Schizosaccharomyces pombe: one gene and its partners. Changing the gene in region 3 together with the main gene of any one other region gives a genetic interaction. Each region holds a gene or a part of one and is shown on either strand. Other genes may lie near its edges. The genes, in order: shf1, sol1 and cdr1.

What was found.
Region 1: mutations in cdr1 (region 3) and shf1 together harm fitness more than expected from each alone (negative genetic interaction), as found in Schizosaccharomyces pombe (one large-scale study listed by BioGRID).
Region 2: of cdr1 (region 3) and sol1, changing one enhances a phenotype caused by changing the other (phenotypic enhancement), as found in Schizosaccharomyces pombe (one study listed by BioGRID).

Annotation. Positions count from the first base shown.
Region 1 is NC_003424.3:4,809,346-4,813,103, reverse strand, and holds the start of shf1 (histone H2B-K119 ubiquitin ligase complex (HULC) subunit Shf1), read left to right. Parts: upstream 1-1,695; 5' UTR 1,696-1,836; coding exon 1,837-2,334; 3' UTR 2,335-2,618; coding exon of another isoform or gene 2,619-3,758. Other genes in the region: CCR4-Not complex subunit Caf16, read right to left, coding at 39-637, 683-802, 882-1,005; phosphoinositide phospholipase C Plc1, read right to left, coding at 2,619-3,758. UniProt on the Schizosaccharomyces pombe protein: Component of the histone H2B ubiquitin ligase complex (HULC) which plays a role in transcription regulation by catalyzing the monoubiquitination of histone H2B to form H2BK123ub1.
Region 2 is NC_003423.3:1,310,073-1,313,830, forward strand, and holds the start of sol1 (SWI/SNF complex subunit Sol1), read right to left. Parts: upstream 1,731-3,758; 5' UTR 1,653-1,730; coding exon 1-1,652. Other genes in the region: karyopherin/importin beta family nuclear export signal receptor Kap109, read left to right, coding at 3,159-3,216, 3,266-3,758.
Region 3 is NC_003424.3:2,680,647-2,684,404, forward strand, and holds the start of cdr1 (serine/threonine protein kinase (NIM1 family) Cdr1/Nim1), read right to left. Parts: upstream 1,762-3,758; 5' UTR 901-1,761; coding exon 1-900. UniProt on the Schizosaccharomyces pombe protein: This protein, a dose-dependent mitotic inducer, appears to function as a negative regulator of mitosis inhibitor wee1 by phosphorylating and inactivating it.

The DNA of each region.
Region 1 (3,758 bases), 2.1 Mb from region 3:
ATAGAATTAAGCATCTAAAGGATAACTTTTCTAGTAATCTATTTTGCTCGGGAAATCTTAAAGTAATCAGTAAATACATCAGTTCCAACTTTTAATGATTCTTGAACGTCGTCCCAGGTACTACGCTTTTCCTCTTCTCGAGTTCCCCTATTTTTTTTGTCTTCTTTGAGCCATTCCAAACATGTCTCTAGAAGGGCGCTATTTCCCGTAGAGGACCTTGTCATCAGAGCACCAAACTTGGATATTGGTCCATAATCCACGATACGCCCAAGACTGAGATGGACCAAGTGAGTTGGCCACTCAGCTAAACCATCAAATATATGTGTTGCATAAACAATAGTAGCATTCCTTACTTCCGTTTCCTCTTGCAAAAAATTTAACAAATCTGCCCGGGCAAGAACATCCAAATCTACAGTTACTTCATCAAGTAAAAGTACTTCAAATGGACGCAGAAGTCCCATACATAGTTGAACACGTCGTCTTTCACCATCGGACACTGCATGCATTCGCCAACGAAGATCTATATCAAGAATTGAAATCAAGAAATCCCTACGTTCGGCAAATTTATCTCCTCCAACAGAAGCAATTAATCGTGCAACACTCATATCCCTATGTATAACAGGGTTGTTAACCCATTCTACAAACGCACACATCAGTAAAATTTGATGTTAAAAGAACTTACCAGTTCCTAAATAAACAAATGCAGAACTAGACTCACGAAAAGGATCTTTACCACCCACCGATATATGTCCTGCTTTCGCAAGCGATTTTCCAGATAAAAGTTTAAGTAAAGTTGATTTTCCTGTTTAACAAAATTCCAAGAGGACATCAGTTAGCATTTAAATATTCTTCATCAATTTCCATAACACCGCGAAACTTACCAGCTCCATTGGCTCCAACAAGTAAAGTCCTTGATCCTTTAGGAAGATCTAAAGTTACGTGATCAAGACTTAAAGGCTGCTTTGGAGAAAACGTGTAAGAGAGGTTTGAAACAGTTACTTCCATTTTGAAATAGAATGTTTTAACAGTAGTAAAATATAATTATCTAAGAACTTAGTTTTACAATATATAAAGGATCCAAAAAAAGGCGCAAATTAAATAACACTCAAACTTTGTGGGTTAGCTGGATTGTGTTTAGTACATCTGTGTATCAAGTAAAGTGTGGAGGGAATGCAGTAAAGTTGTTATAAGCAAGACCTCGTACTAATAAATTAGCTTTCCAAGTCTTTGTAAAGAACCTTTTTTAACTATTAAGTAATGCTGCCCATATTTGGAGATGCTATTAAGACCTTGAACACACATCCTGCGGAGTCTTGGAAAGAAAAATGATTAACATCGATGGAACAATTGGCAAACAATATATATAGGAGATAGAAGCAGATAACATTTGTAATCAACTACAATTTATGCTACATATTATTTGGCTTAAAACTAAGTAATAATACTTTCCTAAGGTCACCCCATTTCGTTTAAGACAACAGACAAACCTAACATTCGCATGGAATTTTTTAACAGCAGGCGGACATTTCTCAAATAAAAAAATATAAATATAATATTATTTCATTCCTGCTAAACGATTTTAGCTTTTCAACGTAGTATTGCCCATATCATTAGACTTAATATATTAAACAACAAACAAACATCGATATGGGCGAAGGGCTTTATATAACGCGGTACGTAAAATAGTCTTACCTCAAACCGTTTTCTCACACCGTGATTTTAATTGAATTAAGTATTACTATTTTTCGGTTCTTTAACCAATTGTTTTAATTAGATAGTGTACATTTTTCGTGAAAAAAAAGAACCATTAATATCAGCACTTAATTATTCACTTTAATGAGCAGCAGAAGAAATGACTACCACTATGATGGAAACGACCACCAGTATCGTAGTCCTTTGAAATCAAACGTTGATCAAAACAGTTTTTATGAATCTAGTTATAGGAGCCGACAATCCTACCATCAAAGAACAAAAACACCCAGATCTAGTTATGATTCACCCTCTTCATCTACAAATTCCAAGGAACACAATTCTCCCTATCATTATAGAGTCCCTAGCAATAATTCAACAAGAGCGTCTTTTGGGGCAGCTTCTACGGATACGAATGTAGAATTGCCGAAGATTAATCTTCCAGACTCGAGTTTGTCAAGTAAACTTCAAAGCTGCAAGTCTGCGTGCGAGAATTCATCCCAGAGTTTATTGAATGTCGAACAACAATACGCTCAACAAGTACATTTTTGGGAAAAAATTAGAACGGATATATACCGAGAAGGTCTACGTAGTGATGCAGCTGTAAAAAGCTTAAACGATTTTGTAAATAATGTCAGCTTCTAAATAAATTATTGCAATCATCGTCTGCGTACAAATCATTGAGCTTCCGCTTTGTGGATATTATTATGACTTTTTATTGAAAGTTTTATCCCAAACCCATATTTATAAACATGAATGTTTTTGTATAGCGTTTTTTTTTTTAAAAAAAAAAAATAAAAATAAAAAAACGCTTCATACACTCTAAACATTCTCAGACTACTTCGGTTCTCTCCCTTTTAACGTATAATATGCATTTTAGATTTTCTGAAGTTTCATTACGGTGAAAGTGCTGTAATGGACACAGCGTTCTAAATGTCTTCTTTTTTAATTTTCAAAAACAAACTCGAAAATAACAAATTTTCGCCTTGCATATCCAATAAACGAATATGTCTATAGCCTTGTTGCAGTCTGTCAATCGGACAAGTAAAATTAGCAAATATAGAGTCATTTCCATTACTTCCTCGATGATGGACGAGAAATCGGATCATGGAATAAAAGTCATCACTAATTATACTCTCATAAACCATGGTTTCTCCCCAAAAAGGTCGAAATCCATTTTCGTGCACAACTTTGGAACACCAACGAAAAGGAGATTCTTCCATTGAATGAACTTGGATCTCAACATAAGGGCTGAGAGTTTCAGAATTAGAAAGTTCTCTAGCTCTTCTAAGTTGTTGCCCAGATATGACATCTATTGTTAATTTTATTTTACGAGGAAGTCCTTCTTCGCCAACTGTTGTACCAATTATTCGTTGACAAGGTGGCTTTAACAAGTACCCAGTCGGAGGATCAGCTATAAACAAAGCATCATTTATTTGAAGACCTGTATCATAAGTTTGCCAGTTTAGAGCAACCATTTGCACACCCAGGCGCCAATACACCTGAGGATTAAAATTTGTACTTCCTACTCTCAATGGGCCAGGGTATACACGACACAAATAGCGTAAATTATGTTTGCTAAGTCTTGGAACCATAGCTTTTCCATGCTTTTTTATAGTCCTTTCCGAAAATGAGAATATGTGGCTATACGTTTTTGATTCCGGTAAAGAAAAATTTCGAAATTTCAATGATCGGGCATAAGGTGCAAGCTGTTGCAATTCCTGCACAATGATATTTTTCATCCGTCTTTTACCTTTCCTTAACCCTGTTAATTCTGAATTTTCTAGCTCCGATGATTCGGTAGTATCAGTCGAAGAATCAGTTATCCCAACCTTCAGTATGTCTGTCGAAAATTGGTGCAATGGTGTTGCTGAACATTTGACTTTCAGCAAAATTTTGTTCAGTAAATCTTCGGGTGAAGGAAGAACTGATTCGTTAGCGGTAACGGGTTTCATCACCAAAGTATCCCCAAATGCTTGTTTCATGTAACTAACCATTTGACGTTGTTGGTCAGGGCAGCAATGAATTTCCAAAGAAATGAATAATGGATAAGGTGAAACGACGAAAGC
Region 2 (3,758 bases), on a different chromosome or scaffold from region 3:
GCTAACAAATTTTGCTCCGAATTATGAACATCAATAGCATTGATGCTATCTTTTGTTTTGTTTTCGCTTAGTGAATTTGAAAAGTCTTCTCTGGAGAACTGCGATATCTCTACGCAACAATTGTAAAGAAGTTGTCTATAAGAAGGACGTTTATCGGCGATTTCCATTAAATCCTCATTAGGAAGAACAGATAGCAGATTATCAAGGCACTGAGTTGCAACGTCAATCAACGCATCAACTACATCCTGGCACTCACTTAACGGAAACATCCATTTTTGATCATTTGTTAATATAAGTAAAACGTTCATTGCATACGTTATTTCTTTTTCCAAAGTAGATTGCAGGCTCATGCACAAGGCTTGAATGTTTACAGTCCCCAGATCTACGATTGAAGGCATCTGAAGCCGAAGCAAAGATTCATCGAGCCTATACGTGGCCGCGACATTCAAGGGATAACCCAACATAGGATCGATGGGCTTTTTTATCGGTTGATAAGCAACGGGTTCGGCAGAATCAACAGGAGCTGCCGAAGAAGAAGTTTGAACGGTGGGCGGAGTGGGTCGAGTCGGAGCAGAAGGGTATGGTGGAGCATTTCTTTCAGAACTAACTGTGGTAGGAGCAGCTGGAGAGAAACGATTAGCGGTGAATGCTGGGGAGGGTGACTTTGAGTGAAGTGATCCATGCATAGAACCATTGGCATGTACAGCTTCTGGGGTGGTTTGGACCGGCTTTTGTGGATAGTTTTTTGGTCTGCTTTGAACATTCGCAGAATGATTAGCTTTTGCTTGTTGAAGTGATTTTTGTTGCTGTTGAGCAGCAAGCCATGCTTCTTCATATGGAAGCAGATAGGAATTGTAATATTGAATTAGAAGGGAAATAGCATCAGGAGATGGAAACCCCAAGGAAGCAGAAATTTTTGGCCAAAAATTATGAGCTGAGACTTGTCGAGATCCACCGGCACGCATAACCAAGGCGTACAGCATCATTAAATTAATAGGCGTATTATTTATTTGAGGATAAGATTTGATTGGCGTCCCCCGCTTTTCCATAAAAGAAATAAGGCTAACCATGAATTTGTCAAAACTAGCAGCATAAGCAGGCGTTAGTTGATTAGCATTACCAGAGGGAGTATTTGGGGAAGGTGCAGGTTGAGGAGTTTGTCTTACAGCTGGGTGGGCATTGATGCCAATTTGATTAGGAGGAATTTGTTGAGAGAGTAAGGCCTCTCTGCTTTGCATTTGTCGTTGATAAAGTTGTTGCTGCTGTTGCTGTTGTTGTTGCTGCTGCATTGCAGCCTCTTTTTCTTGTTGAAACGGGATCCGACTTGAAGGCATCATGGGACTAGAGTATTTCACAGATCCAGAGCCATTCCATGCACCGTTAGAGGCGAAATCAAATGATTGATTTGGCAAATTACGTTGAGTTGATGGAGATTGTCGGAAGGGCTGTGAATGAGCCAAATTGTTAGGCTCATTCTCGGAAGTATTCATCATGTTTGCATTTCCATATTCTGCTGCATACATCCCTTGGCTTGTCGAAAAGCGTTGAGGATACGCAGGTTGTTCTTCCTGAGTATTATAACTTTGACCTTGCGTGGGATATGATACTGCGGTTGGATAATCACTCGCAGGAACAAACCCTTGATTATTCATGATTCCTCATACTAAATCAAACAAAGAGTAAAGGGACCTTAAAATACACGTTTCAATATATTAACGTCTAAGGCGCTTGGCAGCTGAAAGTGCTTGAAAAGCAGACGAAGTGCATATAACGAGTTGTTTAGTGCTGCCTTTAAGAACCTAATCTGTGTGTTTCAGAAAATGCTTAAATTCCTAAAAAATCTTTACACTCATTCCTTTAAATCTCGCAAACGTGATTTCTTGCCTTTGCAGTGTCTCTTATTTCCAAGTCAATGACAATTGTTAGCATTGGGAAGCATTTATCGATTAGTCAGGTATCTAAAATTTTAAAAACAAAATAATATCTTATTCCTCTTGTAATAGAAACAATATTTATTAACTTGCTCTGTTAGTAGACTTGGCGAAACTGTAAACAATCACGAGTACAACATCTTCTTCTTGCGGAAACAGATATTTTTTTAATAAATTATTTTTTTTTTTTTTAAAATAGTAAAAGCATATGAGTTAACATATTCGAGATCCCGTTATCCTCCTTTTCTTTCTTTTTTTTTTTTTTTTTTTTTTGAAAGGAGCAATCAAAATTGACACATTAATTCAAATTTATCTGGTCTAACCTTTTTTTTATTTTTTATTCATTATTTTTCCTTCTTTCTTTCTGGCTACATAAGACTCGACGCAATGTCATTTTATAAATTTCATTGTTTTCTATAAACGTGCTTTCATATGTGTAAACCTATTGATGAATGAAACAAGATAGTAGAATATGGTAATTTCTATTATCAAGCAATTGGATTTAGGTTGTTGAACTCTATGGACAAGGGCTTGTACGTGTAAAATATATATGTTTATGACTTAATTATTTACTTTTGCAAATCTATGGTTTCAAGTCAACTCGCAAAAGGAATATCCGATTCAAGAAGGAAAAAAACTAAATACTACAATAAAAAAAGGTTTGTAGTATTTGAGATAAAGATGGAGATGCTATATTGCACATGTAGAATTTGATGGCATAAACAAGAATTAGATTTGAAACAAAAGTCAACTAACACAACTTTCAAGTCCACGTATAAAGCGATTTCTATTCTGACGGTTCATAAAATGTTTAATGAGCTTGCAAACTAAAACCAAGTAATTCGGAAATTAGGTATTTACAAGCTGATAATTAAAATGTGAACCCTTGAATTATTGATAATGAATTATAGATTTTATTAGTTTTAATTCCTTTTTTAAGTAATTTATCAAGTATAGTCCAACTATTTATTTACAAATATTGGTATATTAGGGTGTTTTAATAGAAAAAAAAACAAAAATTAAGCGAAGAAAAGTATTACATTAACAAGCCTGAAAAAGAAGCAAACAAACTAATTAAAAGATGTTAACTATATCAAACTTAAGAGAAAATTATTTAATAAATAAAACCGGAATTAAAAATTCTCTATAACGATGTTAGAGAAATTGTTCTAGTTACGTCGGTGTCCTTCAAAATCTGCCCTTAACCACAATCCCTGTAGGAAAACTATGGATGACATTCCAACTCTTCTTGCGAGAACATTAAACCCTACGACTTCCAAAAGTGGTAAGATACCCCAACAGAGTGGATAAAGCAAATTTACTAACTGATATAGCTGAGGAAGCACTGAAAGTATGGGAATTACAAGATAGTTCTTTTGCACTAAAACTCCTCAATATTGTCGCTGAGGATACAGTAGACATCAATATTAAGCTGGCCGCTTCATTGTATTTCAAAAATTACATTAAAAAACATTGGGATTCTGAGGAAGGTGCTTCTATTCGTATCAGCGATGAGGTGGCAGAATTGATCAAACGCGAAATAATCAACTTGATGCTGAAAAGTACTACCATTATTCAAGTTCAGCTAGGTGAAGTAATTGGTTATATTGCCAACTTTGATTTCCCTGATCGGTGGGACACTCTTCTCCCCGATCTGATATCTAAATTGTCTGCTGTTGACATGAACACGAATATTGCTGTACTTTCTACTGCACATGCGATTTTTAAGCGCTGGAGACCTTTATTCCGTAGCGATGCACTTTTTTTGGAGATCAAATATGTGTTGGATCGTTTTTGCGAACCATTTCTCGCTCTCTTCGTGCAAAC
Region 3 (3,758 bases):
TTTAGAGGATGATTTTTTCCAAAGCACACACATGCAATCAACTACTAATGGATCAATTTCGTCAATTGACAGTGAAGGGGTAGGAGGGGTAGTGCTATCCATAGAGCTCAATGATGTACAGCCCATTAGAAATGGATGAGAAAAAACTTCCGGAATTGTTATACGCGTGCTTGGATTTACATCTAGCATTCTGTGTAACAAATCTTGCGCAGCCGAAGAAATTGAAGAAGGAAGATCATATGCGCCATGGCGAATCTTATTATAAATAACATCTGTGTTTTGACCACCAAAGGGGAGCTTATTCGACAACAATGAATACAAGATGACACCACAAGACCAAACATCAGCAGGAGCTCCACGATATGGTTTGTGAGATACAATTTCGGGAGCCAAATAATGTAAAGAGCCGCAATAATTCTCAAGACAAGAGTCATTTGGTTCAACAGTGGCCATGCCAAAATCAGCTATTTTAATTTGTTGCTCATTTACCTTGATGAGAATATTCTCAAGTTTTAAATCCCGATGGCGAAAGCGAAAGCGATGACAATGCGCTACAGCATCAAGAATTTGGGAAAGATAATGCGCAGCCTCTCTTTCGCTCAAAGGTCCATGTTTGCGTATATAGTGAAAAAGCTCACCATCAGGGACGTACTCGAGTGCTAAGTACATATGCTGATGATCGGTCCAAACATCGTATAGTCGAAGAATATTAGGATGGCGCAACAAACGCATCATTAAGATTTCCATTCCTATGGAGGCATATCGAATAGGGATAATTTTGATGGCAGCCAAATCACCAGTTTTAGCATGCTTGGCAAGACGCACACAGCTAGTGGAACCAGTCCCTAAAGTCTTCCCAAGACGCCATACGCCAATAGTATTTTTGTGTCGCTTCACCATTCAAATCTAACCTTTTATTAAGGGAAAAGGCTTTCCAAAAGTAAAATTGCAGACTGAATAATAGCAACTTCAGAAAATCTGAAATACTTATGATGAAAAGTAGAATAAATGTCGAAAAAGTAGCATGAAATTTGGAATAAGTAAAGGAAAAAGTGAATGACACCACGATACAAAATAGGGTGTGATCACAAAATAGATACTGGAAACGAATTAATAAAATAAGAGTGCCTCATAAATAACCTAAAGCACTTTTCTGAGTGTATTGTAGAACAGAAAAGTGAAACGTGGAACGGAAATAGACGGACCTTGAAAAAAAAATGGGAAGTAGCACAAGAACACAAATAACAAATGTAAGTTACAAGACGTTTTGAGTAACAGCAATAAAAAAAGGTAAAGACAAAGAAAAAGAAACGAAGGGGAGCGTAAAATAAAGAAAGTATGTAAAGTGTATAAGATTCGTGATGTATAAATCCAATAAAGGTTAAGTTAATGATATTCGAATAAGGATTGAACTTTCATAAATTAAAAGAGAGAAGAAACAAGAAAGGAGAAAGTAAAAATGGAAATATTGGGGCGGTCAAATAGTTGAAAAAGGTAGAATAAAATAAACTAACGGATTTTAATTCAAACCCTGTATAATCAGATAAAAATATGGAGAACAGTAAGTAAAACAAAGAAAGATGAATGAATAAATAAATAATATGTAGAACAACCCACTATATAGAAGGCCTACAGATGTTTCAAAATATCGATCTACAATATTAATACAAACAGGATCCCAGCAATTCCTAAAATCGAAAACAATGCTGAGTTCTTATGCAGAGTAGTCCAAAAGACGGAATTGGCCAAGATAAGTTTGGCAGAGGACAACATGAATGCTGGAGGAGCGGATATAAGTGTTCAAGAGTAGGGAAGGGTGGGGCACTACTTGGACTTGATCAGGGAACATATGAAGAGTGTATTGAAGGCTTACGATTATTTCGGCGGATCACGATAGGATGACTTAAGGAACGGAAGCAATCCACTACTTGGTTTCTAGTCCTTGAGGGTGGTAATCTCAGGCTCATAGTGCTGTCTTGATAAAAACTTGAATATTAACAGCTGATTTATAGCTGTAGAGCAAATTTTATTTAGTTTTTCAGTTTCGCTTTATGAAGTTTAATTAATATTCATATTGTAGTAAAATCGAACCGTTAAAGTTGTCTTTTCTTCTCTTATTTACATTTTCGTTAAAAGCAACTTTAGCAGTCTTTTCTGCTTCTTTCACATTTGTTTACGTAGTACTCGTTTTGGCAATCTAGGAGCAAGTTATTGCAATAGATGAATATTTTTTCTTGTTTTACTCGTGTAGTTTTAGCAGGGAATTCCAGTTTTTCATCGAAAAGTAACACGACTTGGTAGCACGGTCAAGAACCCGTTCTACTTCGGGGATAACCAGGGACATGATGCATACCATATCTGATAACACATGCCATTACACTTTTTTTGAAAATTTGAGCAAAAAAAATAATGAAAACAGGTACTTGAAATCTGACAAGTGTTAGAGCCGGCTTCATGCCAAACATTGAAACTTGCTTCAATAATAGATGAAATCTCAGTATATAATGAATGTATTGAACGGGTTACTGAAGTTCATTTCATCATTATAAGCGAATATTGGATGTTTGAAATCGTCTTCATCCTATGGTATGAATAACAACGACTGTCGTGAAAAGTTGATGAAAGACTATAGGCCCCGCTTAAGAAATTACGATATTATAAAGAATCTATAATTTTCTACAATTTAATTGAAATTTTTATATTTGGAGGCGAAAACTTATTCTTTTTCAGCTTGCTCAACTTTATGTGACTTTTTTACATGGTATATCAACATGAACATTCTTACTGCAAATATTTCAACTAAATAAATTCATTAAATTTTTATTAGACAATAAAAATATACTATAGCAACTTGAGAGCTGCAATACGTGTACGCCACAAACAATTGAGAAACAAACAGAAATTGTTTACACAGTTTCGCTGTTTTCAAAATATAACCACGGGTAAGTAATACAGTTGGCATACAACATTTGGGTAACCTACCATAATTATCAATTGAGCGCAAGAATGGCTTGGATACTGACTCAACCCCAGTCTACTGAATCGACGATGTTTGGAAAATCGAATGAAACCAGCAAAACCGATCCTTCACCTTTAACTATCGGTAATCCAAGTTTGATTATCGAGCAAAGATGTGGTTGGTGCTTGGACAGATGGATCTACTTGATTGCTTGATATTTTTCGGTGTCAGTTCGTTACGCTAAAATGACTAAGAAAAATGAACACAGCCTCGATAAACAAATATCATCAGTGCGATCCAACAGCGGTATTTGTCTGAGTTTCTGGTTTACATTCCGAGCCACATGAAAGATAGGCGTTACAGGGCTCGGGAATGCAGCCGAAGCCGTTCAAAGTTGTCAATAAAGAACGTTTGGTAGAAGTGTCCAACAGCAACGAAGTGTTGATGACTTGTTGCCAATGATGAATTTCTTCACTATTGAGTTGGACTTTGGAATGTGAGTGGTCGTACCAACAACTACGGGTATATGGCCTTATTGCAGTGTAAGATTATCTCATTGTCATACAAAGTGGGCAACTTCATACGCAAGGCGTGGGTTTCATGAACACACAAAACGAATCGAGATGATCATCGTTGGATACTCGCTTGATGCAGCTGCTAACGGAGATGCACAAAGCAATCGAACTTTACCATGACATATCCGAAACATGCTAAGATCTTGTTGATGCATTCGTTGACGTTTTTTCAAGATGTTTCGTAATTTCTATACCCCCGGGTGGAGTGGAGCTGCACTTACGAA